Macaca fascicularis: one gene and its partners. The protein of the gene in region 6 interacts with the protein of the main gene of each other region in a pairwise test. Links are inferred from orthologs where the notes say so. Each region holds a gene or a part of one and is shown on either strand. Other genes may lie near its edges. The genes, in order: MAGOHB, EXOSC1, IL36RN, CDKN2C, NGB, REL and OTUB2.

Region 1 (4,539 bases), on a different chromosome or scaffold from region 6:
GCCAAATATTTAAATAGTCTATGCCTACAACATATAGATATAGGGTCATTTTTACAGCCTATTTTCTTAAGCTACATCATGAACTAGAAAGAGAATCTGCAAAAGGCACTAACATTCAAGTTTGTTATATGTATGTATTGGTGTTAAGTGCGTTACACAGAGAATTTAATCTAATCTGTAAAACAATCCTAAAAATCAGGTTTTATTCTCTCACCTATTCATAAGAGAGAAAACAAAGTTAAGTAACTTAAACATGGGAGATTCAGACCTAGATCTACTTTCTTTTAATACTCAGGCTTTCTCCACTACAAAAAAATGTTCCTTTTTTTCCTTCAAATGTATGCATACAATTATACTGTAGACATTTTAGAATTATGACTAAGAAGGATACAAACGATGCTTCTGGATCGAAGTTGATGAGTTTGTTAGCTAGTTTATATTTAATTTTAATCCATCATGATTTGTGTATTATCTGATGTATGCTTCCCCTTATGGCTAGTCAGTTGCCCAGACACAGCTATAAGGTGCAGCAGTTACTCTAAAATGATAGAAATGCCAGTCTTTGATGGCTTGGCGCCAGGCGTAGTGGCTCACGCCTGTAATCCCAGCACTTCGGGAGGCCGAGACAGGTGGACTACCTGAGGTTAGCAGTTCGAGACCAGTCTGGCCAACATGGAGAAACCCCATCTCTACTAAAAATATGAAAAAGTAGCCGGGCATGGTGGCACATGCCTCCAATCCCAGCTACTCGGGAGGCTGAGGCAGGAGAACCGCTTCAATCCAGGAGGCAGAGGTTGCAGTGAGCTGAGATGCACTGCAGCCTGGGTGACAGAGCAACACTCTGTCTCAAAAAAAAGAAAGAAAGAAAAAAAGAAAAGAAAAAGAAAAAGAAAGAAAGAAAGAAAGAAAGAAAGAAAGAAAGAAAGAAAGAAAGAAAGAAAGAAAGAAAGAAAGAAAGAAAGAAAGAAAGAAAGAAAGAAAGAGAGAGAGAGAGAGAGAGAGGAAGGAAGGAAGGAAGGAAGGAAGGAAGGAAGGAAGGAAGGAAGGAAGGAAGGAAGGAAGGAAGGAAGGAAGGAAGGAAGGAAGGAAGGAAGGAAGGAAGGAAGGCAGGCAGGCAGGCAGGCAGGCAGGCAGGCAGGCAGGCAGGTCTTCGGGAGACTCAATATTACCAATAGAAGAAGTATGTGTAACAGTGCAGTGGCAGATACATTGATTAGAACCACTGTTCTAGCATAAAACTTCCCTGATAATATTCAGGTGCTTAATTTATGTGACCTGCTAAAAGTAATAGAGACAAGCTTGACGGTGTTCACAGGCAGAGGAACTGAAAATAATACTACATAAAGAATAGATGAATTCAGGTAAATTTAGCTGAATTTATGGGGAGAGTAAGGTCGAATACAGTGATTAAGGTTTCTAAATAATTGCAGGGCTGGCACGGTGGCTCATGCGTGTAATCCCAGGACTTCGGGCGGCTGAGGCTGGTGAATCTCTTGACCTTAGGGGTTTGAGGACAGCCTGGGCAACATGCGGAAACCCATCTCTACAACAACAACAACAACAACAACAAAGGAGATGGGCGAGGTGGCACTGGCCTGTATTTCCAGCACCTCGGGAGGCTGAGGTGAGGGATCACTTGAGCTTGGGAGGCGGAGGTTGCAGTGAGCTGAGATCGTGCCACTGCACTCAGATCTGAGTGACAGAGTGAGACTCTGTTTCAAAGTAATAATTGCAGGACTGTAGTTCACCTGAGTTCTGCCTGAAATGCTTGATACTCTTCTCCTTTCCTAATATACGTTTCTCCTCTAATTTTTTATTCTTGCTCTCACAGAACATTGTCCAAAGCCTGCTTATTAATATACCTACTGCTTTATAGTTAAATGTCTGTGTCCCCACCAAGACAAATCTCTTTGAGTTAAATTTGTCTTACTCATTAGTGTACCTTCAAATTTTGTATTTGCTTGTTGCCCAGCAAAAAACGTGCATTTAAAAAAAACCAAAACATATATATCCAAATGAACTTTCTTGTTGCAGGTAGGCAGGACCAATGTAACATTCTCTAATAGCGCTGTCAGAAAACAAATTGTTGCACGCTACTGGGGTAGCAGTTTCACCTCGTCCTCTGCTCTCACTGCTCTGGAAGTCTGTTTTTTTCTCTCAAAGGCCAAGTCTCTCATTTCGAGACTCATCTCAAGAGTGTCTTCCTCTAGGAAGATTTTCCTGACTCCCTCCTGTGGAACTTTACATCTCCCCTCTTTTTTGGTACTCTTCATGCGTCCTGTGGTGAACAATTATACGTAGACACCTAAAACATATTATTATTCTCATTTGTTAACACGTCGGGCTCCTCCCCTTCAAAGAACACACACAGCCTGAATGAAGAAAAGGTACTGGTCACCACAAGATTTTATTCATCCATTGGACCACCCGCTGATGGGGGTGTTTTCAAAAAAGTGCTAGCATTTTTAATCCAGGTCAACAATCTACAGAGTCCCTTCTGGTGCAGTTACAGAATTCTGATTACTGTAAGTTCGACTTTTCAGTTTGCGACAGGATTAGCTTTAATTTATTGCAATTAGTTCTCTTTCATTTATAAAACCAACTTAGGCCTCCTCTATTCTTAAGCTCCTATTTCCTTCGAGGGAAGCAGTGGCCTCCGCCCCCTGTACCCTCCACACCACCCGGCCTCCCCTCGCCTCCTCCACGGCCTCTCGGTCTCGCTCCCCTTTCCCAGCACCGCGTGCCGTGGGCCTCTTCTCACCGTCCGGCCGAAATTCGAACTCCAGAAACTCGTGCCCAAACTTGCCCTTGTGCCCTACGTAGTAGCGCAGGTAGAAATCGCTAGCCATAGCCATTTTTGTCCCCGGGAAGCCCGCCGAAAACCCAGCCAACGTGTCCCCCGGCGCCTTGTAGTCACGTCATCGCGCGGAATAAGTGCGTCACCACAGGCGCTTCTCTTCCGCCTGCCTTGCAGCCCTGGACTAAAGCGTGAAAGCCGAGTCTCGCGTGAGAGGCCAGTTGGTGCTGAAGGGAGAGTCGCATGCCGTGACTTTCTCTTTACTAGGATTGGAGGCACATTATTTTCAAAATAAAGATCACATTATATTAGCAAATATTAGAAATGTGAGCATATGATAGTATTTTTTATCGACTTAGAGCTAAATTAGGTTTGCAAGTGGCTTTTACTTTTCTGGTCTCCCAGTCCTCGGGGCGTTTGTGAGGTGGGTGTGGCTCTATTCCCCCTTTAACTGGGAGCTAAATAAAGATAAAGCTTAGAATAGAGATGGCAGACCGGGAATATAAACCATTTTTCTTACTTGATTTCGAACAGGGTGCTTTCCCCTTTGAATAACGATTGGTAGTTGCCCCGGACCTATAAGCCTATAATAATAGAGACAAAGTCAAAGGAATCCATCACAGCAAAGAACTTAAGAGATCTCATTTGATCTCTCAAGAATTCTGTGAGCTTGGCAATGTAGATTGCTGTATATGCCTTAGGCTGAAGAACAAACAGGCTTAGAGATAGTCACTAGCCCGAGGTTAGGTAGCTGTAAGTGTTGGGATTGAATCCCAGGTCTTCTCACCACCACTTTCTACTAAAAATCACTGACGGTAATTTCAGTGGGACAAAACTGGCTTAAAGTCTTAAAACACACACCCCCTACGCCTGAAAAACCCTGACTGTCACCGTGCTGTTTTTTAACAGCAGAACTTCTATGGTTCTTAATTCATTCAGTAAGGGTTAACTTTTAGTAGCCTGTGGAGTTTTGGCAATTTGACTTAAGATACAACAATGGTTTAGCCCATTACTGTTTCTCGCCAGATATAATTAAATTGGAGGAATGAAAGAATGCTCCATTGTGGCATAGTTTTTAAGGTAAGGGAAAGACTTTTACACAAAGTCTGCTTTTTAAATATTATTGATCACCCTTTTGTTATCAACACACAGAGTAATCCTCTCTGCTGGTTGACAACCTTCAGTGATTTTTGTAGAAAGTGGTGGTGAGAAGACCTGGGATTCAATCCCAACACTTACAGCTACCTAACCTCGGGCAAGTGACTCTCTAAGCCTGTTTATTCATCAGCCTAAGGCATATACAGCAATCTACATTGCCAAGCTCACAGAATTCTTGAGAGATCAAATGAGATATGTAAAATAAGCTTTAAATTTTATAAAACGTTAGTTTTAACAAACATTTCCTATGTGACAGTTTGAAACTAGAAATAAAAAGGCATTTGCACTGGTAGTCTAGAAAAGAAAGCAAACTTGTAAGGCAAATATTGGCACAATGGATCAATTGCTATAATTAAGAATATATGTGCCATTCTGGCCAACATGGTGAAACCCCGTCTCTACTATAAATACCAAAAACTTAGCTGGGCGTGGTGGCGTGTGCCTGTAGTCCCAGTTGCACGGGAGGCTGAGGCAGGAGAATCGCTTGAACCCGGGAGGCAGAGGTTGCAGTGAGCTGAGATGATCCCACCGCACTCCAGCCTGGGCAACAAGAGCGAAACTTCGTCTCAAAAAAAAAAAAAAAA
Region 2 (3,745 bases), on a different chromosome or scaffold from region 6:
CCACTTAAGAACTCTTTTCGAGGAACTATCCGGTAAGAAGTATCCTTGTCACGTATGCCTTAGCAACTGCAATAAGATTAGGATAGACTAGGACACCAGAATTTTGAGCAACAGTTACAATTCCTATTTTTCTCTTGCCCATTTTTCTTTCTTCTTTGTGCTTTGATTCTCCCCTAGTAGTATCCAAAAATATGTGGATGAGCTAGGACAAAAGGAAAATATTAACAAGAGAGGGTTTAAAAGTAAAGCAAAGGCTGGGCACAGTGGTTCATGCCTGTAATCCTAGCACTTTGGGAAGCTGAAGCGGATGGATCTCTTGAGATCAGGAGTTTGAGACCAGCCTAGCCAACATGGTGAAACCCCGTCTCTGTAAAAAATACAAAAATTAGCCGGGCACAGTGGCTCACACCTGTAATCCTAGCACTTTGGGAGGCCAAGGTGGGCAGATCACAAAGTCAGGAGTTTGAGACCAGCCTGGCCAATATGGTGAAACCACGTCTCTACTAAAAATACAAAAACTAGCCGGACATGGTGGCGTGTGCCTGTAATCCCAGCTACTCAGGAGGCTGAACCCGGGAGGCAGAGGTTGCAGTGAGCCAAGATCGCGCCACTGCACTCCGGCACAGGGTACACAGCGAGACTCCATCTCTTAAAAAAAAAAAAAAAAAAAAAAAATTAGCTGGGCATGGTGGTGCATACCTGTTGTCCCAGCTACTTGTGGAGCTAAAGTGGGAAGATCACTTGAGCCTAGGAGGCGGAGGTTGCAGTGAGCTGAGATTGTACCACTGCACTCCAGCCTGGGTGACAAAGTGAGACCCTGTCTCAAAAAACAAATAAATAAATGAAAAGTAAAGCAAAAAGAATTGAGTGAAGCTGAAGTTTATCAGTGTCAGGATGACTCAAACCAAAGTGGAAGGCATTCTAGGAAGCACTTTTTAAAAATTTTAATATAGATTGAACTCAGAGGTTATAAAACATTGAAAAGATTTGTGAGTGAGACGGTGATTTCCTGTGGCTTCCTTGAGAAAGGACAAACATTTCTTGCCAGGCAGATAATCTAACTTTTGAGGCCCTTTCCAGCCTCAGGATTTGATGTGGTTCTGTAGTGCAGCAATCTCCAAGCTTCTTGGCACCAGGGACCAGTTTCTTGGAAGACAGTTTTTCCACAGACTGTGGTGGGAGTGGTTGCAGAATGATTCAAGTGCATTACATTTATGCTGTACTTTATTTCTATTATTATTACACTGTAATATATAATGAAATAATTATACAGCTCACCATAATGTAGAATCAGCGGGAACCCTGAGTTTCTTTCCCTGCAATTCGATGGTCCCATCTGGGGGTGATGGGAGACAGTGACAGATCGTCAAGCATTAGATTCTCATAATGAGTGGGCAACCTAGCTCCCTCATGTGCACAGTTCACAATAGGGTTCATACTTCTATGAGAATCTAATGCCCACTTTGATCTGACAGGGGGCGGAGCTCAGGCAGTAATGTATGTGATTGGGGAGCAGCTGTAAATACAGATGAAGCTTGCCTGCCACTCACTTCCTTCTGTGCAGCCCGGTTCCTAACAGGCCACCAGAACTTGGGGACCCTTGCTATAGTGCTTCTGTTCAAGCCCTGAGGCAACAAAACTCCTTATCGTTTCTTGCCAAATCTGATCTGCCTTTATCTAATCAGGTATTGATACTGCTGCTCCGTGTGGTCTGAGGATGCTTCTCCACCCTGCTCCTCTGAGTAGCAGCTGGGTCCCAATTAAGACTTGTTCTGTCTGTTCTTGTAGCTCTTTATTTACTAGGAATCTACAGAATAATTCTTTCTCACAGGCTGGGCAAGGTGACTCATGCCTGTAATCCCAGCACTTTGGGAAGCTGAGGCGGGTGGATCACCTGAGGCCAGGAGTTCAAGACCAGCCTGGCCAATGTGGTGAAACCCCATCTCCACTAAAAATACAAAAACTAGCCGGGCGTGGCAGCACATGCCTGTAATTCCAGCTGCTTGAGAGGCTGAGGCACGAAAAATGCCTGAAGCCAGGAGGCGGAGGTTGCAGTGAGCCGAGATCGTGCCACTGTACTCCAGCCTGGGTGACAGAGGGAGACTCTGTCTTAAAAAAAAAAAAAAAAAAAAAAAAAAAATTCTTTCTCACAGATAATTAATCTTTCTGTTAATTCTTTTTTTATAGCAAGGAAGATGTCCGAGCAACTGAAAAAGACAAGGTTGTTGGTTGGTTCTCTTTTTTTAACGGCTTTACAAATCTCAATCCCTTAAAAGTATTATCTCAGACCAGGCATGGTTGCACACACCTGTAATCCCAGTACTTCGGGAGGCTGAGGCGGGAGGATCACTTGAGGCCAGGACTTCAAGACCAGCCCTGGCAACACAGTGAGACCCTGTCTCTACAAAAATTTTAAAAATTAAAAATTAGCGGGCATGGTGGCTCATGCTTGTAGTCATAGCTGCTTGAGAGGATGTGGCTGGAGGATTGCTTGAGCCCAGGAGTTTGAGGTTATGTGGTGGCACAAACCTGTAGTCCTAGCTACTTGGGAGGCTGAGGCAGGAGGATCCCTTGGTCCAGCAGTCCAAGGCTGCAGTGAGCTACCATTGCATCACTGCACTCCAGCCTGGGTGACACAGTGGGATTCCACCCTTAACAAAAAAGGGCTGGGTGCGGTGGCACACACCTGTAATCCCAGCTTTTTGGAAGGCCAAGGCAGGCAGATCACGAGCTCAGGAGTTCAAGACCAGTCTGACCAACATGGTGAAACCCCATCTCTACTAAAAATACAAAAACTAGCCAGCGTCATGCTGCGCGCCTGTAATCCCAGCTACTCAGGAGGCTAAGGCAGGAGAATCGCTTGAACCTGGGAGGTGGAGGTTGCAGTGAGCCAAGATCGTACCACTGCACTCCAGCCTGGGCAACAGAGCGAGACTCCATCTCAAAAAAAAAAAAAACAACAAACAACTTTTCATTTGTATGATAATACTATAGAAGCAATTAAAAGTTGTTGACTTGACATGAGTAATGATGATTTCTACCCTCCAGGATTAGAAAGTAGACTGGCTTTACCAGAAGGGTTCACAGTTTCATATAGACCCAGTCTAGAACTTTCACTTACCATTCCTGTTCTTTCTTTACAGGTTGAAATTTATAAGAGTTTCCGCCCAGGTGACATTGTCTTGGCCAAAGTGGTATCCTTTATTCCCAGCAGACTTCTGGGTTTTTGTCAAAAGAAGAGATGGAGGCTGGGCGTGGTGGCTCATGCCTGTAATCCCAGCACTTTGGGAGGCCAAGGCGGGTGGATCACCTGAGGTCAGGAGTTCGAGACCAGCCTGGCCCAACATGGTGAAACCCTGTCTCTACTGAAAATACAAAAATTAGCTGGACGTGGTGGCGCATGGCTGTAATCTCAGCTACTCGGGAAACTGAGGCAGGAGAACCGCTGGAACGCTGGAGGCACAGGTTGCTGTGAGCTGAGATCGCGCCACTGCTCTCCAGCCTGGGTAACAGAGCAAGACTCCGTCTCAAAAAAACAAAACAGAGAAAGTAGAAAAACAACTCAGCTGACTAAGGTTGGGGGAAGACTTCTAACTCCTCATTTTCCTTCAGTGTTATGTGACTAGATCTCCCTAGGTGATGCACAGTCCAACTACCTGCTAACCACTGCCGAGAACGAGCTGGGAGTAGTGGTAGCCCACAGTGAGTCAGGTGAGATGGCCTTGCTTCCACATCCTTACTTTCC
Region 3 (4,532 bases), about 41 Mb from region 6:
GGGCACAGGACTGCTGTGAGACGGCCTGCCCCCAGGCTGGGCAGAAGGGAGGCCTCTCAGCAGCTGTCATGACATGGCCTCTCCTGTCCACTGGCCCAGAGCGGACATCAAGGCATGGAAGCACATTGTACCACCTCCACCCCACCCTCTAGTTCAGGGTCAAATCTTCAAGCCTCTATACCCCAAAATAGATGCAACCCCCTCCTTTAAAAAGGTCCGTTGGGTCTCAGGCCTTTTTCTGAAGCCTGTCTTGATGAGCCCCCCTTTGGAGTTGTTTGGACAACTTTCTACACCCTGTGAGGCTGCTGAGAGCAAAAGAGGGTCTCATTCCTCTCTGTACATCCCCTCACCACCCACATACATCAGACACATATATGCACACCCCAAATACACACACAGATACATGCAGGCACACATATACATATACACACATGCTCACACATTCATACCTGCATTCACACATACATGGTTATGCACAGATACATTCATGCACACATATGCTTACACATATATGCCTCCATGTACACGTACATACACCAGTAAGCACACACATACACATATGGCCTAGCTGAATATCTACCTGGCATCTGTGCTCAGCAAATGTGCGCCAGGTGGGCAGGTGTGAACTATTTTAGAGAGGGACCTGTTGCAGTGCGTGGGGCAGAGTGAGCAAGCAGGAGGTCCAACAATGCCACCTGTTCTCTGGGTCCCTCCCACTCTGAGTGACTGAGGATCTTCAGAGAGCAGAGGGGACCCAGGGTGGAGAGGCAGAAACTGACTCCCATATGGGAAAAAAGGTGTAGAGAGTTTACTTTAGTTCTCTGCTTGGTACTGGCTCCCAGGGAATGCAATGCTTGACCTAAATCCACCTGTAAGGGAATGACAAGACAAGCCTCTTGGAAAACATTCCCACTTCTGCATAGAAGCTTCAGGTGGCCCCAGAGCCTGTGTCTTCCCTTTGCTGAGAGGTGTGGTATTTTATTTGCCTTTGCTTAGAGGCTGGTTTGTGCTGCCCGAATGCCTGGGCTCTGTAGGCCTGTGCTCACCTGTATGACTATTCTAAGCCCTCTTCAGGCCCCCTCCCTTCAGAGTGTATAGAGACCAAGGAAAGTGGGTCATGTTTCATCACCAACCTTTAATGACCTTCCCTGCATGCAGCCCTCCAGCTAGAAGCTGGTTATTATGCAGATAAAGAACCTTCAATGCCGAGTCCTTCATTCTGAAACATCAGGAAGGGGTGAGGACTACATTAGGGGGAGGGCGTACACTCCAGTATGCCTTCGGTCCAGAGAACTCCCTGATCTCAGGCATTTTGTCTCTTTTTCTTCCTACTGTGCCAGAAGTAACAGCGCAGCCTTCTCTCCCAGCCCTGCTGGGCTCATGCCCTACCATGAGGATGACCCCACAGTCTCCCACTGGGGTCTGTGGTTTGCTTCTTCACCCTATTCCACCTTTTCTGCCCCAACCCATCTCCTATTGGAAGAAAAGCTGCACAGTGAGTCAGAGCCCTAGGTTCTTGCCCCAGCTCTGCCTCCGGTGCTGCTGAGTCGCAGCAGACAACTCTCTCGCCCACTCTGGGCCGGAGCCTCCCCATTGCTAAGATGATGGGTTGGATAACACCCAAGCTTCTTCCAGATTAAAGCCTGATTCTTCAGTTCTTCAAGATACATGTATTTCTATTTGGCCATATATTCCTTACTAAGTGAGGAGTTTCTTTCAATTTAAATTTCTTTTATTTTACTTTTCAAAGTTGTTTCTCATCTATGAACTAAGTTCATTTCCTGACATCCTACGAGGAGGAAGATGTATCCTAAAGTGGGTTTCTCCAAAAGTTATATGGGGGAAAAGGAGGCAGTATAAAAACTGGGTCGATACATGGCTAAAGATGATTCAACAAGTTGCCTTACTTCAGAAAGTCTCAGAGTCACTCATATGCTGAGCTGTACTGTGGTTCTCTTATGAGAGGATGTAGAAAGGAGAATTCCCTGCATTTACTTGATCAGAGAGCTCTACTGTGTAAAGCATCTCCTGGATGCCTCTATGGGCCTCCTCTAATAGAGTCCCATAGAACACATTGTGGGAAGTGCTTTATTAGACTGAGAGAAAGGGCCACTCTCATCCTTTGTTGTAAAGCCCAGAGCACGGCAGTGTGTCTGGCTTGGTACATGCCAGTGGGTGGACAGACTGACTGATGGTCATGGGTTTTGTTTTATTTTTATCCCCAAAGAGCAGCAGGGCAGTAGGAGCACAGAGTGGGTGAGCTGACATTAATTCGCTGTGCTGGGGGTCAATGGCGGAGCTTTGAGCTGGGATCCTGGCTCCCTTTCCCACCTTGGATAGACTTGGCTGCAGCTCTAGACTGGGTGGTTCACTTGTCCCCCTCAGCGTCAGGGAACCCTTGTGAGATGGCTTGCCCCAGTCCTGGCCCTATTTGAAAAAGGCTGGGAAAACTTCTCTAAGAGTAGTGAGGTGCTGGTCACAATTTCCCCGCTGCAATGGCTGTCCCTCCCTTCCTCCCTCCTGCTCAGAACTGGACAACGGGTCTATCCAGAACTCACTTCCCCCAGAGGACCTCCGAACCAGGGCCTCATACACTCACCGGAAGCACAGCGCCCCACTCAGGACCATCTTGAGCTCCACAGGGTGTAGACTCCCCTATTTTGGAATAAACAACAGAAAATCATGGAGAGAGAGGCTGAGTTGGCTGGGGTCTGGGGAGCAAGAAGCCACACCAAGCCCCCCAGCATGTGAACAGCTTCCACAGAGCAGATTCTGGGTCTGGGATAAGGAGACAGCTCCGGCCCCACCAGCGCCCCAGAGCATACCTCAGAATGTTCCTTTCTCCCGGCAGGAACTGTGGAGTCTGCTTGTTCCTGCAAAGATGCCTCAGCCTTTTAAGTAAGGCCTAGGGAGGGGCCCTGAAACTGCCAGGACCTGAGGAGGAGCAGGATTCCCAGCGTGATTTCATACCACCCTAAGTCACCAGACACACTTGCTCCTCATTATCTGTCGTGGGGAGGGAAGCTTCTGGAGACAGTTCCTTCCAGCAATTTTGAAGAACTTCCTTGAGGCTTTCCAGCTCTTTGTGAGCATTCGGCTTTTGCATCTCAGGAGCTTCCAGACCCTAAGAGTCAGTGCCCATGGCAGCTCAAGGAAGGCTTGACTTTCTTTCCTGCCTGCCTCTCTCCCTTTCTTCCTTCTCTCCACCTTTCATTCACTCCCTCTCTCCCTCTTCCCTTCCTTTCCTTCTTTCCCTCCCCATTTCCTCCCTTCCTCCCTCATTCCCTTTCTTCCTTACCTTTTTCACTCCTTCCTTCACTCCTTCCCTTCTCCCTCCTTCCTTCCTCTGTCTTTCCTGCCTGCCATTGCCAGGCCTACAGGAGATACTGGAGGTGGGACTCTCCTGCTCAGGGAATGTTCAACCTACATGTTCATTGTAGAAAAACCTGAAAATCCAGATCAGCCACAATGAAAAATGTGAATACTTGTCTTTTCTGAGTGCATCATCAGAAAACCAATGAAACACTTTTTCCTCCCCACACATACACGTGTAACTATAGACAGCTTTCACACAACAGATTCACAAAACCTGTACTTTTTCCAACCTCATTTTTTCATGTAGCAAAATAGCAAAATATCTTTCCATATTAAATATGAATGATGACATGCTTGAATAGCTGTATAGTATTTAATTGTATCACTGTAACATTATTTATTGAAATTTATCCACTGTTATTTGTCTTTCATACATTTTTCTCTTTTCTTTGCTATTGAAAATCATGTTGTGACAAACATCTTTGTATTAACATCTTTGCTCATGTATCTGATTATTTCCTTAGGAAGTAAAATCTAGCTCATGCCATCTATAATTCTGTAAGTGATCTTTCCTGAATACCTAATTGATAAGATAATATGTAATTGTGAAACAGTTAATGCAGTTTAAATACCTCCATGCACTCTCTGTGATGGATCTGAAATAAAAGTAAGAGTCAGTGCACAAAAAACAATTTAATTATATCTTGAATAACACGGATGAGTATTTATTAATAATTTATTGTTAAAGCATACATTTTAAAGAAATGGTATTCAGACATATGAGCCAAGAGGTCCTACAGGTGATTGAGAATAAATAAAATATCAAGTTGTTCAAAAGACAGAAAATAATCTATGATTTTCACAATGCCACTAATAAGATAGACAGTTTTCAAAAAATAAAATTAATGTAGAAACTGCCTTGTACAAAATTATTAAATTACAAATTGACCAAATAGAAATGGCAGTTGAAATAAGATGAAATGAGACAAGCCTGGCCAACATGGAGAAACCCTACCTCTACTGAAAATGTAAAAATTAGCCGGGGTGGTGGTGCACATTTGTAATCCAAGCTACTCAGGAGGCTGAGGTATGAGAATTGCTTGAACCCGGGAGGCGGAGGTTGCAGTGAGCCAAGATTAAGCCGCTGTACTCCAACCTGGATGACAGAGCAAGACTCTGCCTCAATAAATAAATAAATAAATAAATAAATAAATAAA
Region 4 (4,270 bases), on a different chromosome or scaffold from region 6:
TATTAAAAATGTTTGTCAAAACTTTTTAAAAGAATATTATTAATTTCCCAGTCTTTCTGTTCGTCAAAAATCCTGTAAAATCTTATTATGAACATGGGTTAAGTAGCTCATTCTTTGTGAAGTTTATATAATCTTTTGAGTTTTCAAAAGGAAGCTTTTCAATATATTAAATTTGTTACTTTGCTATCATCACTAAACCTGTTCAAAACTACTAGGTAGAAAAAGAAAAAAAATCATTACTTAATGTAGCAGAAATAACAAGATAAATAATTTAGTATCTGTGCATAAACTTCCTTAATACTGAAATTTTTGCAAGGCCAGTGTATTCTGATTGAAAACGTACAGACTACATGGACTTTGTTTGTTACTAGTATATCTCCTGGCACTTAAATTTTTAATTCTTGTAACCGAAACAAAGCCCTCTAAAAACCCTCTCCCCAATGGGTTTTCAAAAACAGCTTCAAGTGTTGCATTTCCAAATAAGAATAGCTCATAAGAATATCATCAGAACTCTGATAAATTAACTATTTTAAACTATTTTGTCATTTTTCTGTTTCTAAGCCTTTCACCTAAATTACATGATAACATTCAGAAGAAGAAAAAAATTATCAGGTACAATACTTGGCAGCTGGACATGTGTCAATCGTTGCCTGTAAATCTAATTACTGAAAATTAGAGCACACCACGGCATAATCGTAGAGACAAAGACACTGCAGCTGAGCTCTGATTAGAAAATTCAACTTTTTATTCCTCCCGACTCCTGAATGAGTGGATGGTATTACATTAACTGTGAAATGTACATCCTGTCCCGGTGCCCAGGCCACCCATTCCAAACGAGGAAAAGTCGTTTGTCAAAACTTGGAGCATTTGAAGGAAAAACACCCTCACCAGTAGTCAAGAAAATTAACGTTAAAGTCTATTACTGGGGGCAAAGTACGTGAAACCACTAATAGCAGTGTATTTCAAATAATAATCATAATAATGTGTTTACAGAGCTGTCTTTAAAAACAAAACAAAACAAACAAACCTCGGCCCTACAATGACTACTCTAAAATCCCCACCGTCACAAAAAGATTCCAAAAACTAAGACCAAATCTGGACCCCACTTGATATCAAGGATGTTATTGGATTTGAGGAGTTTGTTCAAAGTACGTCATTTTGAGAAGTTGCATCCACTTAAAGATATAAAATATGGCAACCAACTAGGTTTAAAAACAGTGAAATTTTATGTCCCTGAAAGCTTAAAAGCTGTAAATCTAGAAAACCGGGTCACGTAGGCAACATTATTGACTTGTTTTCCCCACCTCTCTGAATACCAACCTGCAGCGCGGTCCTTCCAAATCCATTTTGTGCATTGACGTTTACATTATTTTGCAACAAACTAGTAAGTTGCTCTAGGTCCCCCCTGGCAGCTGCGGACGCCAACTCGTTCCCCCAAGGCTCGGCCATTCTTTAGGGTCCTGACGATCAGGAAAAGATGAATTAGTCGTTTTTCTTTTTTCCCTTTCCTTTGCTCCTAACCAGGCTGCATGATGGCATCGGAGACTGACAGAAGGACTGGGATGGTTAATCTGGAGTAGAGCTTGGTAGTAAATACTAGTAAGATCTGCCTGCCAAAAGCCCGCCCCTCGATTCACACGTGATTATTCAGCAAAACTGAGCCATTGGAGAGGGGCTCCTCGCCTCGCTTTTTTAGCTTAACCCCTATGAAGAATTCTGACGACTCCACAGAGACACACACAGACACACATACATTCCTGGGTAATGACTCCGGACGTCAGATGTAGGCAGAGCTGTCACGTACCTACGCTACAGATCTCTGTGAGGAGTGTGTGTGGACACTCAAGGGACTATAGATCGGGGCAGAAAATACCGCGGAAGGAAAGACATTCGGGGGGAAGAAAAGGCATTCACCCACCCTTGTTCACGGTGGTGACTTGAGCCGTGTGAGGCAGAACTGCAGGGGCAGGTCCTCCAGGGGGCTCGGTTTCCATCCGTCTCGCCGAAGGGACAGTCCTGGGTCCTCCGCTGCTGGGAGAGCGCCGCGGTGGCTGGATGCTGACGTGCTCCGGGGGGTTAAAAGATGATCGCCAAAGGCGAACGGGAGTAGCAGTTCCGTGGCCCTCAAGTTACAGGTCGTAACGACTGCCCAGTACTCTGGGCTTCTCCAGAAGAGCGTTTAGTCGCGTCCGGGCCAAGTCGTGGGCTAATGCCGCTCAGGAAAGCTCCGGAGCCCGCCCGCCAGGCAGCCGCAGCCCCGCCGAGCCTCAGAGGCCGTGGGAGCCGGGCTCGGCGCGCGTCTCCGGAGGCTGCCGGGCGTGCGGCGGGCCCCCGAGAAGCCCGTCATGCCGGCCCCGCCAGGTCCCGGGACTCCCGGCAGCCTGAGGAAGGAGGAGAGCGATGCGGGAAGCGTCTACGGGGCCCGGACTGCTGGGGCAGCTCGCGGCAGCATTGCGGCTGTACTGGGCAGACCCCCGGGAACTTCCCGCCTACGACCGAGCTCGTTCAGGCTTTCTGTTGTAGGTACTCATTGAGCTGCTGCCGCCGCTGTCCTTTCCTTCCTTTCCCGGTTTTGTGGGAGCCTCCGGAGATGGGGAGAGTCCTGGGAAACGCAGGCCAAGTTCTGAGTAGGGGGAGTCGCCACAGTTCCAGGGCGCAGCCAGACCCGCCGCCGTCTCGGCGAGCGCTCAGCAGCTTCGGCGCCCGGTGCCACTTCGCCACCTCTCGCGGTCCCTGGCCGCCTGTGCCCCTTTGCTGCGGACAGGGCAGCCGCCAGCCAGCTGTGCCCTGGAGCCGAGCCTGGCAGCACTGCTTCCTCCCTGGCCACACCGCTCCCAGTGACAGTTTCTTTTGTAGCTGATTCCCCCCTAGATCGCCGGTCCCTGCTCCTTTCACCCCTACGGGCACTTGCGTGTCGCCCCCTTTTTTACTTTTTTCCTTCACTCCCTCCCTTGCTGCTTTTTTCGCTGAAACAATTGCTGCTTCTGTTGCCTCTCAGAGAGGGTGCCGGTTTCTTCTCCCTTTTTTCCGACCTCATCAGCTTTTTTTGAAAAGAAAAAAATTGAGCGCTTTTTGAGTTGAAAAACCCGCCCCCATTTTAACGGCAGAGTTTTAAGGAGGCTCGGCGGAGTTGCAGCGCCGCGGAAGCGGGAAGGCCGGGCACCGCCCACGCCCCGCCCTCCGCCCTGCTGGCGCTCGCGCTCGCAGTCTAGCAGGCTCCGCCCTCCCGGCCCCGCGCACTCATTCCCGCCTCTAGCTCTCCACCTCCTCCCGTCAAGTCTCTTGCGCTGGCTCCCTCGCGCCGGCTCTCTCCCGCCGGCTAGGCGGCCTGTCCCCAGCTGGAGCGGGGTTCGGCCCCGCGAAGCCCGGCCTGCCCTTCTCCGGCGGGCGGGCTTGAGTCTGTGACGCGAACCCCCAGCTGCCCCAATTCCTACGGGCGCGAGGACAGGGGTTTGTTATTTAAGACGCTGTGGAGGGCGGCGGAGTCTTCGAGGCTCCGCAGCGCAGGCTGCGGGAAGGCGGAGAGCGAGCTGGCATAAAGGGAGTCGTTCTCCAGCGCTAGCGGGGCAGGTCGGCCAGCCTCTGTGCTCCCCCGCCAGGCTCGCAAAGTTCGGGCGGCCAGGCTTGCGGCTGCTGCTGCCTCCTCTAGGGCGCGCGCGCTCTGTAAACTCGGCCTCCTTCGCTGAGCCCTGGGCCTCGGCCTCGCACCTGCCAGATCCACGCCCGACGGCCGCGGTGGGCAGGGGTGGCCGCGAGGGTGGAGGGAAAAATCCGGACTGCCACTAAGCACAGTGCTCACAAAAAGCAAGTCTTGTATAGATTGAATTTTATGAAAACTTAAGACATGGCATAGATAAGAATGAACTCTGAAGCCTTAATCAAGGACTAGAAACTGCTAAATAGTCCTGTTATTAGAGAAAAAGGAGAAAAGCAATTAAATTTAAAGCAAAATTTAAAATAAGTCGTGTGAAGTGTTTTCTAACAAAGCTATTTCTTTGTTGCCGAAGTTCTCTCACTACTTAGAAATGGCTTGGTGTTTTGGGGGTGTGGGGTTGGGGAGGGTGTCTATATGTAAAGGAATGGTCTCTCTCCTAATCCTTTATTTAATCATCCGACACGAATTTCCAGTACTTTTAACTTCCTCTTTTAAAGTGAGATTAATTAACTATTGCTTTCTATATTTTTATACTCTTAAAAATATCCAACACGGTTGCATGATGCACCCAGTGGTCAAAATGAAACCAAGCAAAAAATGACAAGTCTAATTAGA
Region 5 (4,219 bases), on a different chromosome or scaffold from region 6:
AACACACAAGTAACTCCAGTTACACCATGCAGAGCAGAAGAGCTGCCCAGCTGAGCCCAGCCATGAGAAATCGGAAAGCATTGTCATAGTTCTAGGGTTGTTTGATACATAGCACTAGGAAATTGAGCAGACCAGCTAATCCCAAAGGCTCCTTAACTTTTATGGTTTTAAAAGAAGCCATATCAGAAAAGAGAACTTGGAAGCTCAGAGAGGTCAAGCCCATGTCAGGGCCACACAGCAGGTAACAGATGCAGGCCCACAGCCCTGGTTATCTAAGGATATGGGAATGGGAGACAGAACAGGTGGCTAGGGGAAGTCTGGGAGAGAGAAGTGGCCCCAGGCCAGGAGCTCTGGAGAGAGTCAGAGCTCCTTTACCCACCGAGAAGGAGCTGAGCTTCACACCCACTGCCCGGTGCTTCCTGCCCAGGCTGGCAAGGTACTCCTCCAGTGAGGACAGGTCTTCCACATTGGTCACCGCAGCATCAATCACGAGCATCACCTGCCAAGGCCAAGGCAGCAGTGAAACAGAGAGGCTAAAGCAGCCACATCTTCTCACAATCACAGCCCAAGGCATGAGGGTCCCAAAGCAAGAGAGGCCAGCAGGACCCTCAGTTTCCAGGATCAGGGGTCAAAGGCAGCCTGTGTCTACTACATATAGGGGGCACATGATACATGGTGGCCAAACTACTAATGTTACACCCATGAAGGAAGCCTCTCTCCTCTGAGGAATTCACGTCTCTAAACACGCCTACTGGAGAGTGTTGTCTGCCGGGACAAGGAGAAACTGAGGCCCTTTGAGAATCATGAGATTCTAAGAAAATCTCAGCCTGGTTTTCATAGGCAGATGGTTCCCAATGACGAGGATCTGTGCTAACACAACCTATGGGAGCCAGGGGACAAAGGCAATGACAGAGGCTGGGACCAGCTCTCTGAACACAGGGTAGGGAAAGAGGCTGATTTTGATGTCCCAGACCAATCCAGTCCAGAGGGAAAGGAGCTGATACCCTGCTTGGGGGAACAGGAGGGGAGTAAAACTAGGCCTGGGGCAGAAAGTCATTTTCCCCATTCTCCACCAGGGAGGTGCTTTGCTGGATCCCAGAGGTCACAGAAGCTCTGCCTCCCTCTCACCTTCCTGATGTGGTCCAGGAACTCAGGTGAGGAGAGACAGTCCTCTGGGCTGGAGAACTGGCGGCAGTTGTACTGGAAGAGGGGCAGCAGGTCAGGCTCCAGGGCAAACAGTCTGTGGGGGTGAGGCCCAGGTGTTAGCCCTGAGGTGTGAGCCCCTGCAAGCCCCAGCAAGCCTGGCTGTCCTGCAGTCAGAGAGCGGGGGTGCCGAGCCGGGTCTCAGCTGCAAACCACAGCAGACTCTCCCACCTGGCACTGCTCCCTAGCCAGCTTTGGTAGTGCCCTCCTCCTCACACCTACTGGCTCTGGGCAGCATCCTAGAAAGGGCAAATGTGTCCCAGGGCCTCTGGCACGCAGGAGCCCCTCGATGAATAGCTGAAGGGTGTGATTTGGGACAGGAAGATGTCCCCAAACAGGAAACCTGGAATTACATTGTGTGGAGAGCGCTCGCTCGCTCTCTCTCTCTCCCCCCCACCCCCACCCCCCTCCCCGTGCTGAGTACTTTCCGTGTGCTTAACTTTTAACTGTATTCCTCACCATCCTAAGCAGTGGGTACAACTGTTACCCCAGTTTTACAGAGGAGAAAACAGAAGCCCGGCGAGGCTAGAACTCGTCTAAAGTCACACAGCTTGGATGTAGTGGAGCCACAGCGGGTGCCCGAGAAAAAAGTGAGCTGGGGGAGTCTGGAGGCAGAAGCAGAGGCTCTCCTTGGCATTTGGGAAGTCTCACCGGGTAACTGAATTTTTTCCCCTTTTGTATTGGGGGCGGTTTTGCGGAAACCTGGGCAGAAGTTCTGGGCTGCCCGAGGGTGCCAAGGATTGGGAACACCACGGTGAGGAAAGCAGTGCTAGGTTGTTGATGGCGGAGGGGTTACCGAGACGGCGAGCTGAGGTTGGAGACTGGCCTTCCCTTCCCCCCGGGGCCTGTGCACCCGCCTGTGCACCCCCCAACCCTTCTCCCCTGCGGTGAGGCTCCCGCATCTGTCACCCCTTCCCCGGCGGCTCTCTGGCTCTTTCCTCGGAAAGGTTTGTCTTGTTGATTGTCAGGAATCCACACACCTGGAGCCAGACAGCTCACACATGGGCGCAGGAGCTCGCCCCGCACACCTCCCCTCCCCGGCCCTCGGGGCACCCCGGCCCTCGGGGCACCCCAGTACCCTGATACCTGCAGCGGGGTGCACCCCTGCAGTCACACGCAGGAGGCACAAGGCGGGGTGGAGGCCCCGCGCGGGGACGGAGGTCCACCCGCCCAGATGTGTGGAGATCCGCGGGAGGAGACCCCGCCCGGCCCGGTGAGCCCCGCTGGGAGCCGGGTGTGCGGAGCTGGTTGGCAACAGGCGCCCACGGTTGAGAGAGAGGCAGAGGGGCTGTGCCATCCGTCGCCGCGCCCCGCTCCTCTGGCGCACATCTGGCAGCCGCCCCAGAGCCCCGGCAGCGGCCAGTTTTCCCTCCTTCGGGGCCGGTCCTGCCGCGTGACCCCTTTCCCGCCGAGGCAGCCTCCACCCGCACCCCCGGGCGCTTGGGCCGCCCTCACCTGGCGAACAGGACGGTGCCGTGCTCCAGCGGGCTGCGGCTCACCGCCCGCCAGCTCTGCCGGATCAGCTCGGGCTCTGGGCGCTCCATGCTGTCCCGGGGACGCGGGGCGCGGGGCGCGGGGCTGGGACCCTCGGGGCTCGGGCGCCGTCACCTCACATGCCGCGCCATCTCCTCCGCGACGGGCCCCTCCGCCCCCCGTACGCCCCCCGTACGCCCCCCGTGCCTCCGCCCGGCGGGGGCCGCAGCCGCTCCTTTCCTGGCGCGGGAGAGAAGAGGCGCACGGCCACAGCCGTAGGTGGAGGCACCCCAGCTGTGCTTCCGGGGACCCCGCTCGGCCGCTGCGCCCGGCGCCCCGCAGCCGCGAGAGCCGCCCCGCCCCGCGACGCCCGGGCTGGGCGCTTTAAAGCCGCCGCGGCCCCCGCCCCCTCCAGGCCAGCAAGGCGCGCGCTCCCTCCGCCAGCCGCTCTGGCCAGCGACGACCTGGTGGCCTGCGAAAGGCCCGGCCTGCAGAACGTAACAGACATCGCTGAGGCTCTCCAGGCCTCAGTTTCTCCTCCCGAGCCCCGAGGGCACTGTGTTGAATTTGGTCGCCTCAGGTAGGCGCTGCGTGCGCCCCCTCTCCACAGGCCCCTCAACTCACGCATTGCTGGAGGCATTTGAGTTTGCCACCCACCTGGCCTGCAGGTCAGGCCTCGGAGGCGGCCTAGGGGCCTAGTTCTCGGTCTGACTAGGGCACCAGCACACGTTGGGGACCACCAGGGCTTTCAGCCGTAGGGACAGGGCCAAGACCACAGCCATTCCCAGCCAGGCCTGGGTTTTTCTGAGACTCCATCTTTAGAAATCCCTGAGATCAAGTTCTAATCCCAGCTCTGCTTGGCCAGGGTGGAAACTTAATTCTAGCTCTGCTTGGCCAGGGTGGAATCTTGAGGGAGTTCAGCTCCAACATTCTACCATTCCATGATTTAATTTTAATTTTAATTTTTCACCTCTCCCCTCCCTGGGCCCTCCCCACTTCCATGATTTTTAATCTTTTTTTTTTTTTTTTTAATGGAAGTACTGTTTAATTTTTCAGTAGAAGTTCAGATGATAGAATCCATGCTCCTCACTCAGGGTGTGCAGTTGGCCAACTGTCAATTAGAACTAAACTTTTCTGTTTCAAAGCAGAAGTTCTTCAGACCCCAGCCCAGTGCTGGTGACCCAGGTTAGGGAGGGCAAGCCCATTTCGCCTTTATTTCTCTCTCATTATTCCCTCAGGGGTCTCCAAGCCTATCTCCTCTGTCTGTCCACACCTCTCTGGGCCTGTTTCCTCAGTTGTGCAGCAAGGGGGTTGGGTGGCGAGGCCTCTGGGGCCTTTTAGTCCACCTCCTTTGGGTCCATGGATAGAAGGTGGGTATTCCCGAGTCCCCGGTTATGAACAGCTGGGGCTCCATGCCCAGCCCTGTGTTAGACATGGAGTGGTGAGTCCTGGTCTTGAAAATGTCTCCTTCTGGCCCTGAATCAGAACTGAGTGCCTCAGCAGAACTCTTCTTTCCTGCTCCCAGCCATGCCCCAGGAAACCA
Region 6 (4,542 bases):
TTTATATGAAACTCTAGGATATGTAAAGTAACATACAATGAACAATAGCAGATCACTGGTTGCCTAAGAACAAGAATATATGGTGGATAGGAAAGGCAGGGGGGACAATGGACATGTTAATTATCTTGTGATGATGATTCCAAGGTTGTATAGGTATGTCAAAAATTATCAAATTGCATACTTTAAAAGTGCAGTTTGTTGTACATAAATTATATGTCAATATGTCAATAAAGTTATTTAAAATATATGTAACTTTACTATTTTTTATTATCCAAATTGTGGGGGAAAAGGTAAATAGACACTCAACTGTACTTGCAAGTAGGGGAGTTAATAGAGGTGTGAAGATGTTTTCCATTAAAAAAAAAAAAAAGGGTCCCTTAATCAGTTTAGTGCCGACTAAGGCTTCTCCTGTTAGAATGCAAGCAATCCTGAGAAATGGTAACACAGTGGGCCTTATCAGAACAGTATGAAGAAGAGGCCTCTGGAATCCTACCCCATCTACTTCCTAACAGTAAGACCACAGAAAAGTTATTAAAATTAAAATCTCTTAGTTTCCGCCTCTGTAAAATAGGAATAATCATAATAGCACCTACCTCATTGGGTTGTTGTGAAGATTACAGATTATACGTGCTAAATTCTTACCAAGTGTCATATATACATATATGTTCAATAAATGGTGTCTATTATTTCAGATGCTTTCTTGATAACAATGATTTAGTGATACCATGGTGGCATCACAACTGTCACTCTAAAGGACCTTACAGAAGAGCAAGGCGAACAACACATATTATTAGACTACAGAAGGAAGGAAAGCACTAACAAAATTTTGTGGAAATAAGAGCGGAAGAGTCAGGAACGCCCAACTGTGTCAGTGGAAAAAGAGCGGTTAATGAAGCAAAAGAGTGGGGGAAATAAAGAGGAAAAAGTTAGGTATTCTAGGGAAAGGGGAACAATGTGTCCACAGAGGAGGGTTTATTTAAGAATCACCAATGTTTGTAAGTGGAATACACTTCCTCTCTTAGAAAGAGAACTAAAAGTCAGAGCACACTTGGCAATGTGGATTTCATTTTATGTGTGATGAAATCAATGAATAATTTGATGCAGGCAAATCACATGATCATATTTACGTTTTAGAGTAAAAATTTTAAGCGGGGCACAGTGGCTCACGCCTGTAATCCCAGCACTTTGGGAGGCCGAGGCGGGTAGATCACGAGGTCAGGAGATCGAGACCATCCTGGCTAACACGGTGAAACCCCGTCTCTACTAAACATATAAAAAAAATTAGCCGGGCGTGGTGGTGGACGCCTGTAGTCCCAGCTACTCAGGAGGCTGAGGCAGGAGAATGGCGTGAACCCGGGAGGCAGAGGTTGCAGTCAGCCGAGATCGGCCACTGCACTCCAGCCTGGGCAACAGAGCGAGACTCTGTCTCAAAAAAAAAAAAAAATTTTTGGTCACAGCAGACAGAAAAAAGAAAGCAACGTGATCAGTTTAGAGACCACTATAATAATGTGGGCAATGATGACAGTATGTCTGATATATGGCAGTGATAAAAGGAATGAAAGATTATTTAAAAGATAAAATTGACAGCACCTGGTGCCTGAACATTAGGGTTAAGAGAAATTAAAAAATCACTGATGGCTCAGAAATTAAAGAATCATTGATGGTTCCATGGCTTCTACTTTGGGTTACTGAATAAAGTATTACCATTACTTTCAATTTTATTCTGTATGGTGCAAACTCTCTGTGCTTGAATCTACTACCTATTTGTTTATTCAAAAGATGAAGAGTCAGAGAAAACTGACTTTAACCCATACATAATCCTTATTTCAGTTTTACTCAAAAACATAAGATATGCAGATGAGTATTTCACAATTTTATCCTTGCATATTTCAAATATTTCAAATTCATACTGCAATTTCAAATTTTTTTTTTTTTTTTTTTTTGAGACTTAGTCTCGCTCTGTCATCCAGGCTGGAGTGCAGTGGCGTGATATCGCCTCACTGCAAGCTCCACCTCCCATGTTCACGCCATTCTCCTGCCTCAGCCTCCCGAGTAGCTGGGACTACAGGCGCCCGCCACCACGCCAGCTATACCTGGCTAGTTTTTTGTATTTTTAGTAGAGACAGGGTTTCACCGTGGTCTCGATCTCCTGACCTCGTAATCCGCCCACTTCGGCCTCCCAAAGTGCTGGGATTACAGATGTGAGCCACTGCGCCTGGCCGCAATTTCAAATATTTCATACCCTTATATATCCTTGTAGGAGTATTTAAGAAAGAGTATATTTTCCTCTTAAAAACTGTTAAAATCAACATTATTTTTTAAGTGACATTTTAAATAATTTATGTGGCTGAAGTAAAAGCCAAATAAATCCCCGCCCACTACTTATTTAAAGGTGTCTTGGTGGGAAACTGATATAAAATGACATCGTTGGCCGGCACGGTGGCTCAAGCCTGTAATCCCAGCACTTTGGGAGGCCGAGACAGGCGGATCACGAGGTCAGGAGATCGAGACCATCCTGGCTAACACAGTGAAACCCCGTCTCTACTAAAAAAAATACAAAAAACTAGCCGGGCGAGGTGGTGGGCGCCTGTAGTCCCAGCTACTTGGGAGGCTGAGGCAGGAGAATGGCGTAAACCCGGGAGGCGGAGCTTGCAGTGACCTGAGATCCGGCCACTGCACTCCAGCCTGGGCAACAGAGCGAGACTCCATCTCAACAACAAAAAATAATAATAATAAAATAAAATAAAATGACATCGTTAATAAGTGTTTAACTTTGGGAGGGGAAGAGTATGAATTAAAATTCTAGGTTCATAGTGAGCATTCAAGTATTTAACTGAGGCTGGGCATGGTGGCTCATACCTGTAAACCCAGCACTTTGGGAGGCCAAGGTGGGTGGATCACTTGAGGTCGGGAGTTCCAGACCAGCCTGGTCAACGTGGTGAAACACCATCTCTACTAAAAATACAAAAAATTAGCTGGATGTGGTGGCAGGCACATGTAATCCCAGCTACTTAGGAGACTGAGGCAGTAGAATTGCTTGAATCCAAGAGGCAGAGGCTGCAGTGAGCCAAGATTGCACGATTGTACTCTAGCCTGGGTGACAGAGCGAGACTCCATCTCAAAAAAACCAAAACCAAAACCAAAAACAAAACAAAACTTCATTGGTTACAAGACACTTCTTTAGATTGTTTATTAAAATGTCTATTAAAAGAACAGAAAAGTAGTTGTTGAAAAGATTAAATAAAATATTTTTAAATAGTAAAAATTATATAAATATTGGTTATCATATAATATTGAGTATTTAAAATCCTTGGAATTTATTTTTCTTATTGCAGAAGCTCTTAATTGGTAAAAATTAACAAGCTGGGGGAATGTAGAGTATTACAACCAAGTAACAGAGTATATTGTAATGCTCTACATTCCCCCAGCTGGAAATAATCTCCCCTCCTTTAAACTACCATAGTATTCTGTTTATAGTAATTATTCCAAATAACTGTAATTTAGGGAAAATTACATCTTACCATCTTATTAAACTTACCATCTTATTTAATTAAAATTAAACTTACCATCTTATTTCTTCTTGAGATAAAGCTACTTGTTTTATTTCTTCAAGCTACTTGAAGGCAGAAATTGTGTTTTACTCATCAGTGCCTTGTATACAGATATTCATTAAACACCTATTGAATGAATGACTAAAATATCTTAAGGTATTTTGTTTATACAAGTTACTCAAACGTTAAATAATCATGTATGTGATTAGTCAGATTTTTTAATTAGATTCCACTACCAAGGGAAAAAAAAAAATAGTGCTTTGTAGGTACCAGGATTGCTACACCTCAGCATTTCCTCATACTCATTCATATTTCGATTTATCTGTGTTTATGATTTTTAAAAAACTTCCCAGCTATAAATCATTTATATAATGCATCAGTACAATGCACCAGTTATTTCCTTCCTCAGTACTGTGCTTTGCGCAGTGCCATTCTTCCTGAATATAAAATGTGCTGAAAAGTAGTCATCTATGGAGTGGAAGAGGGTAAAATATAAATCAGGAAATTGTAGGGAAAATAAGTACTCTTAATTAAGATAACCTCAAATCGCCACAGTTTTGAAAAGCACAAAAACGTCTCCAAAGTTGGCTCTAAACAAGTTGATTACTGTATTTTTCTTTAAGCAATACTATGCAAAGTTGGGACTGACCCCTATATTCTGAAGAGTATTTTAAAAGGCTAATATACATCAGAATAATATCTGAAATACAGTCAAAATGTTTGTAAGATATATTTATGTTTTTATTTGCACTTAGGCAAGAAAGAGTGCTATTTTAAAACATAGTGCCTATTTAATAAAGTATGAGTTTTTAAGATAAAAAATTACATTGCAATAAATGTTTAAATGGATCATAAATTATCAGAAATAGACACATTAACTAACATCTTATTGCTAGAATGAGCAACCAGCATCAAGTATATAGAACAAAAAGTTAATTATTGTAATTACAACACTTTTGAAAGACCCTTTTATATACATTTCTCATTTGAT
Region 7 (3,430 bases), on a different chromosome or scaffold from region 6:
TTGTATTAAGACAGCTAACCTTGAGCTTTTCCTCCCCCGCAGAGAGGCACTGCCCCTGGTAAAGAGAAACCAGAGGCCCCATTTTTCTACAATGCAATGTCAACATAGGCAGGACCCTCCTCCAGTTGAAGAAACAATTCCAGAGAGGGCAGGTAACCCACCCAGCCTCACAGGGAACTGTCAGGGGCCCAGTTAGAAAGCATTTGATCCTCCATTAAAATAAATACTAAAAATACCACCAAGTTACCACAGTCCATAATGGGTAGGCCTCGTTCCAGGGGCTTTGCCCAAAAGGCTGCACATTTTCTTGCTACAGTCTAAATTGCTTAAAAAATTGAAGAGCCGGAATGTTCCATTCAGAATGCAGTCCCATTAGGTGACAGGTTCCACTGCATGGCCTAAAATTAATCAATGTTTATCGGCTGCATAAAGGATGTTGTAGTGGGATGTTTTATAGAGCAGGTAAACGGAAGGGGTGGCGGCCTCAGGGAACACGTGGTGGTTCAGGGCGGTATCCATCTCGTCCACGTACTCCACCTGCAGGGCGATGCTCAGGGCCTGGGACAATGCCGTGATCTGGATGTGGTCACACTCTGTGGCCATGGGCTCCACTTCCTGCAGGGAGCCAAAATGAAAAGAAACCAGCTTAGGAGGGAGGCCTGGCAGAGGATAAGTGAGTTCAACTCTGGCTTTCAGGGTCATGGTCACAGCCTCTGTGCTGGGACATCATCTTCACAACTTCCCATGAGTTGGGTATGGACATTCTCATGTCACACAGGAAACAGCCTCACTGAGAGGCAGCACAGCTAGAAATCGCTACAATGGCAAGAATCGAACCTGGATCTTTTCCATTCTAGACCTTGTTGTTACACCTGAGAGCAGGCTACTACTTTAGACGGCTCTGGAAAGGGGGCAGAAATTTTTCAGGTTGGGCATCGAAGAATCTTAGAGATAAAAGGCACCCTGACATCCAGGGGTGCCTTTCAAGCTTAAGTGTTTGCAGAGGCCAGGCTGGTGAGTGAGGGTGCCAGTCCGGATGCTGCGGAGACGATGGAAGAGGCAGAGGCGGTGGCAAGCAGGCGTGCGTCCCACATAGAGAGGGCAGCTGCTGCTTAGTGCCTGCTGATACTGTCCTGCACGAGCAAGGGCCTGGGGGCTGGATCTTCTGATTTGCCAACAGAAATCCAAATATTCCTATGAAAAGTGCCTAATTTTCAAATATTGGCAATTCTTTCGGGTAAATACCACGCATCATAAACACGTCAAGCAAATGTAACTCTTGGACTGTGACTCTGCGGTTTTGTAAACAGGCCAGTCCAAATCCCTTATTTTTCAGATGGGAAATCTCCAGGGAGGGAAGTGCCTTGCTTCAGGCCACACAGCTCAGGCAGCTCAGGTGAGACCTGTCTGCAGCTTGCTGACCTAGCTCTGTTTGAATTGCAAGGGCAGTCGTGACACCCAAGTCCCTTGGCTAGAGATGGGTGCTGCAGTCTGTGGGAGAGGGCCACAGGAGCAGAACCCGGGGCTGGGGCTGAGACCCCAACACCTACATGAGTGCAGAAGTCTTTGATGTCCATCTCCTCATCAATGAAGTGCCGGAAGAAGTCTGCTCGGTTTCTGATGAAGGCCGATGTGAGCAGGCGCAGGAACTGCACGATGTGGTCTGAGGCACTCTGGTCGTTGAACACCTTCAGCAGGCTGGACACTGAGCCGTCTTTCTCTACCAGTTCCACCACACTGTAAAACTGCGCCGCCCGGCCCTCAGCTAGGGAGGCCAAGCGAGCCCCAGCCCTCCCTCTGCATTCTCCCTCCGCTCCCTCCCTCTGCGTGAAGCCCTCGCGTGCATTTTCATTTGTAGATTCTCAGGTTGAAGTAGAAAATCAGTCTGAGATTCTGCCTAAGCTAAGTAACCCAGGGTTAGCAAGACTTTGTACACTAGGCCAGAGGCACGTCTAGGGAGCGGCAGTTCGGTCTCCCTGCCATGACTACCTGGGTTTGCATTCTCACATGCACACTCAGAGTGGCAAGCGTCAGAGTCCTCGATCCCACCCCTTCACTAATTGGATAGGGAGGCACAAGGTGGAGATGGAATAGGGTGGAGGACGTGCCTCCTCCCAAAGGGAGGGCAGGGCCCTGGGCTCCCTGTGCCCACACACCCCCACAAGCAGGAAGCAACCCTCTGTCCTTCCCCAGCCCGGAGAAGCAGAGCTGTGGGCTGTGCGGGGCTCCAACCAGTGCCCGCTCCTGTCTGCTCTGCCAGTGTGGAAGGAGGGACTAGGTGAACTCACAGCATTGAAGAAGTTTCTGAACTTGTGCTCCTCAAAGCCAGCAGCCAGAAGGTCATTTGGGGTCTGCAGTACACGTTCTTTGAACCTACAGGGGGGTAGACTGAGTGTTTACAGGGAAACACAGCGAGTGTGCTGTGATTGTCAACTGTGCATCCCCCTCTCAACCCACTGCGCCCACCAACCTCATCTCTAGTCCCCGGGCCCTGGTGACTGAGCTGCATTGTGTGTGTATGCATGGTAGAAAGACGATATGACAAGGGCGTGTGTGATTTTGCATCTTTTCCAACTCCCTACTCAGTGACCTCATGAGGGCAGCTTGACTCACTCATGGTAATATTGAATACTGACACCACAGCAATCGACTGACAACACACACCAGGCCTCCCGCACGCCCAAAGCCGGCTGTTAAGCATCTGCCAGCACCAAGTCACCCTTGGGGACCTGCTCCACAGGCCTTTGCTCTGTGCATGCTGGGTTGTTCCTCTCTGCACCCACTGCAGGCCCCCTCATGGCACAGCCCCTTTCTGGGACCTGTCCTGGTACCCTCAGGGAGCATGGCAAGAAACCCAGGCCTGGGCCTGGGCCTGGCCCTGGCTCCAGGACACTCCAAGTTTAGTGGCAGCAATGAGGTATGGAGGAAGGGCTGCCTCCCACAAGGACCAGGTGAGCGGCCCTGGGTGACTAGCTGGCAGGCGCAGAACACTAAAGCCACACCTAGTTCTCCAGCCCCTTACTTTCCCTAGGAACGGAGACGAGGCTCTCACAGGACCCAAGAGGCGGCAGGTTTCACAAGGGAATACAGAGGCCTGGGCCACCTCAGAAGTTGCTGTGCTCCGGAAAAGCCTAGTGCCTTGTAGGAGGACAGGGGGCGGTGAGGAGGGAGAAGGTGGTGGGTGTGGACGGGAAGCCAGTCTCCTAACTCAGAAGTAGGAGTGTTTGCCTAGACGCCGCTTGCCCCTGGCTGGTCCCGGCATATCTAAGAGTCCTGCCTGGGCCAGGACTAGATTGTCCTGATTGCGGAGTGAGGTGCCTGGATTGGAGGGATGGATCCTGTGCTGACTTCTAGCCACAGTCCCCTCCAGCCCTGTCAAGTCTCCCTGTGGCTTTTGGCCATAGGCTCCCCTTTGGCACAGGTGTGGATG

What was found.
Region 1: the proteins of REL (region 6) and MAGOHB interact in binary tests that used the Homo sapiens proteins (3 or more experiments, as listed by UniProt). The two-hybrid records come from large-scale screens. The link is inferred for Macaca fascicularis from reciprocal best matches to the Homo sapiens genes REL and MAGOHB.
Region 2: the proteins of REL (region 6) and EXOSC1 interact in binary tests that used the Homo sapiens proteins (3 or more experiments, as listed by UniProt). The two-hybrid records come from large-scale screens. The link is inferred for Macaca fascicularis from reciprocal best matches to the Homo sapiens genes REL and EXOSC1.
Region 3: the proteins of REL (region 6) and IL36RN interact in binary tests that used the Homo sapiens proteins (3 or more experiments, as listed by UniProt). The two-hybrid records come from large-scale screens. The link is inferred for Macaca fascicularis from reciprocal best matches to the Homo sapiens genes REL and IL36RN.
Region 4: the proteins of REL (region 6) and CDKN2C interact in binary tests that used the Homo sapiens proteins (3 or more experiments, as listed by UniProt). The two-hybrid records come from large-scale screens. The link is inferred for Macaca fascicularis from reciprocal best matches to the Homo sapiens genes REL and CDKN2C.
Region 5: the proteins of REL (region 6) and NGB interact in binary tests that used the Homo sapiens proteins (3 or more experiments, as listed by UniProt). The two-hybrid records come from large-scale screens. The link is inferred for Macaca fascicularis from reciprocal best matches to the Homo sapiens genes REL and NGB.
Region 7: the proteins of REL (region 6) and OTUB2 interact in binary tests that used the Homo sapiens proteins (3 or more experiments, as listed by UniProt). The two-hybrid records come from large-scale screens. The link is inferred for Macaca fascicularis from reciprocal best matches to the Homo sapiens genes REL and OTUB2.

The regions. Positions count from the first base shown.
Region 1 is NC_088385.1:10,340,122-10,344,660, reverse strand, and holds the start of MAGOHB (protein mago nashi homolog 2), read right to left. Parts: upstream 2,918-4,539; 5' UTR 2,856-2,917; coding exon 2,762-2,855; intron 1-2,761. UniProt on the Homo sapiens protein: Required for pre-mRNA splicing as component of the spliceosome. Plays a redundant role with MAGOH in the exon junction complex and in the nonsense-mediated decay (NMD) pathway.
Region 2 is NC_088383.1:106,390,161-106,393,905, reverse strand, and holds part of EXOSC1 (exosome complex component CSL4), read left to right. Parts: coding exon 1-32; intron 33-2,187; coding exon 2,188-2,221; coding exon of another isoform or gene 2,222-2,228; intron 2,229-3,143; coding exon 3,144-3,194; intron 3,195-3,626; coding exon 3,627-3,711; intron 3,712-3,745. UniProt on the Homo sapiens protein: Non-catalytic component of the RNA exosome complex which has 3'->5' exoribonuclease activity and participates in a multitude of cellular RNA processing and degradation events.
Region 3 is NC_088387.1:20,067,840-20,072,371, reverse strand, and holds the start of IL36RN (interleukin-36 receptor antagonist protein), read right to left. Parts: upstream 2,870-4,532; 5' UTR 2,826-2,869; intron 2,656-2,825; 5' UTR 2,629-2,655; coding exon 2,600-2,628; intron 1,220-2,599; coding exon 1,134-1,219; intron 1-1,133. UniProt on the Homo sapiens protein: Inhibits the activity of interleukin-36 (IL36A,IL36B and IL36G) by binding to receptor IL1RL2 and preventing its association with the coreceptor IL1RAP for signaling.
Region 4 is NC_088375.1:183,769,818-183,774,087, forward strand, and holds the start of CDKN2C (cyclin-dependent kinase 4 inhibitor C), read right to left. Parts: upstream 3,021-4,270; 5' UTR 1,919-3,020; intron 1,461-1,918; 5' UTR 1,450-1,460; coding exon 1,321-1,449; intron 1-1,320. UniProt on the Homo sapiens protein: Interacts strongly with CDK6, weakly with CDK4. Inhibits cell growth and proliferation with a correlated dependence on endogenous retinoblastoma protein RB.
Region 5 is NC_088381.1:145,214,523-145,218,741, forward strand, and holds the start of NGB (neuroglobin), read right to left. Parts: upstream 3,035-4,219; 5' UTR 2,748-3,034; coding exon 2,659-2,747; intron 1,241-2,658; coding exon 1,129-1,240; intron 500-1,128; coding exon 380-499; intron 1-379. UniProt on the Homo sapiens protein: Monomeric globin with a bis-histidyl six-coordinate heme-iron atom through which it can bind dioxygen, carbon monoxide and nitric oxide.
Region 6 is NC_088387.1:61,082,455-61,086,996, forward strand, and holds the start of REL (proto-oncogene c-Rel), read right to left. Parts: upstream 3,045-4,542; 5' UTR 2,951-3,044; coding exon 2,860-2,950; intron 1-2,859. UniProt on the Homo sapiens protein: Proto-oncogene that may play a role in differentiation and lymphopoiesis.
Region 7 is NC_088381.1:162,059,242-162,062,671, reverse strand, and holds part of OTUB2 (ubiquitin thioesterase OTUB2), read right to left. Parts: intron 2,374-3,430; coding exon 2,289-2,373; intron 1,746-2,288; coding exon 1,551-1,745; intron 616-1,550; coding exon 409-615; 3' UTR 1-408. UniProt on the Homo sapiens protein: Hydrolase that can remove conjugated ubiquitin from proteins in vitro and may therefore play an important regulatory role at the level of protein turnover by preventing degradation.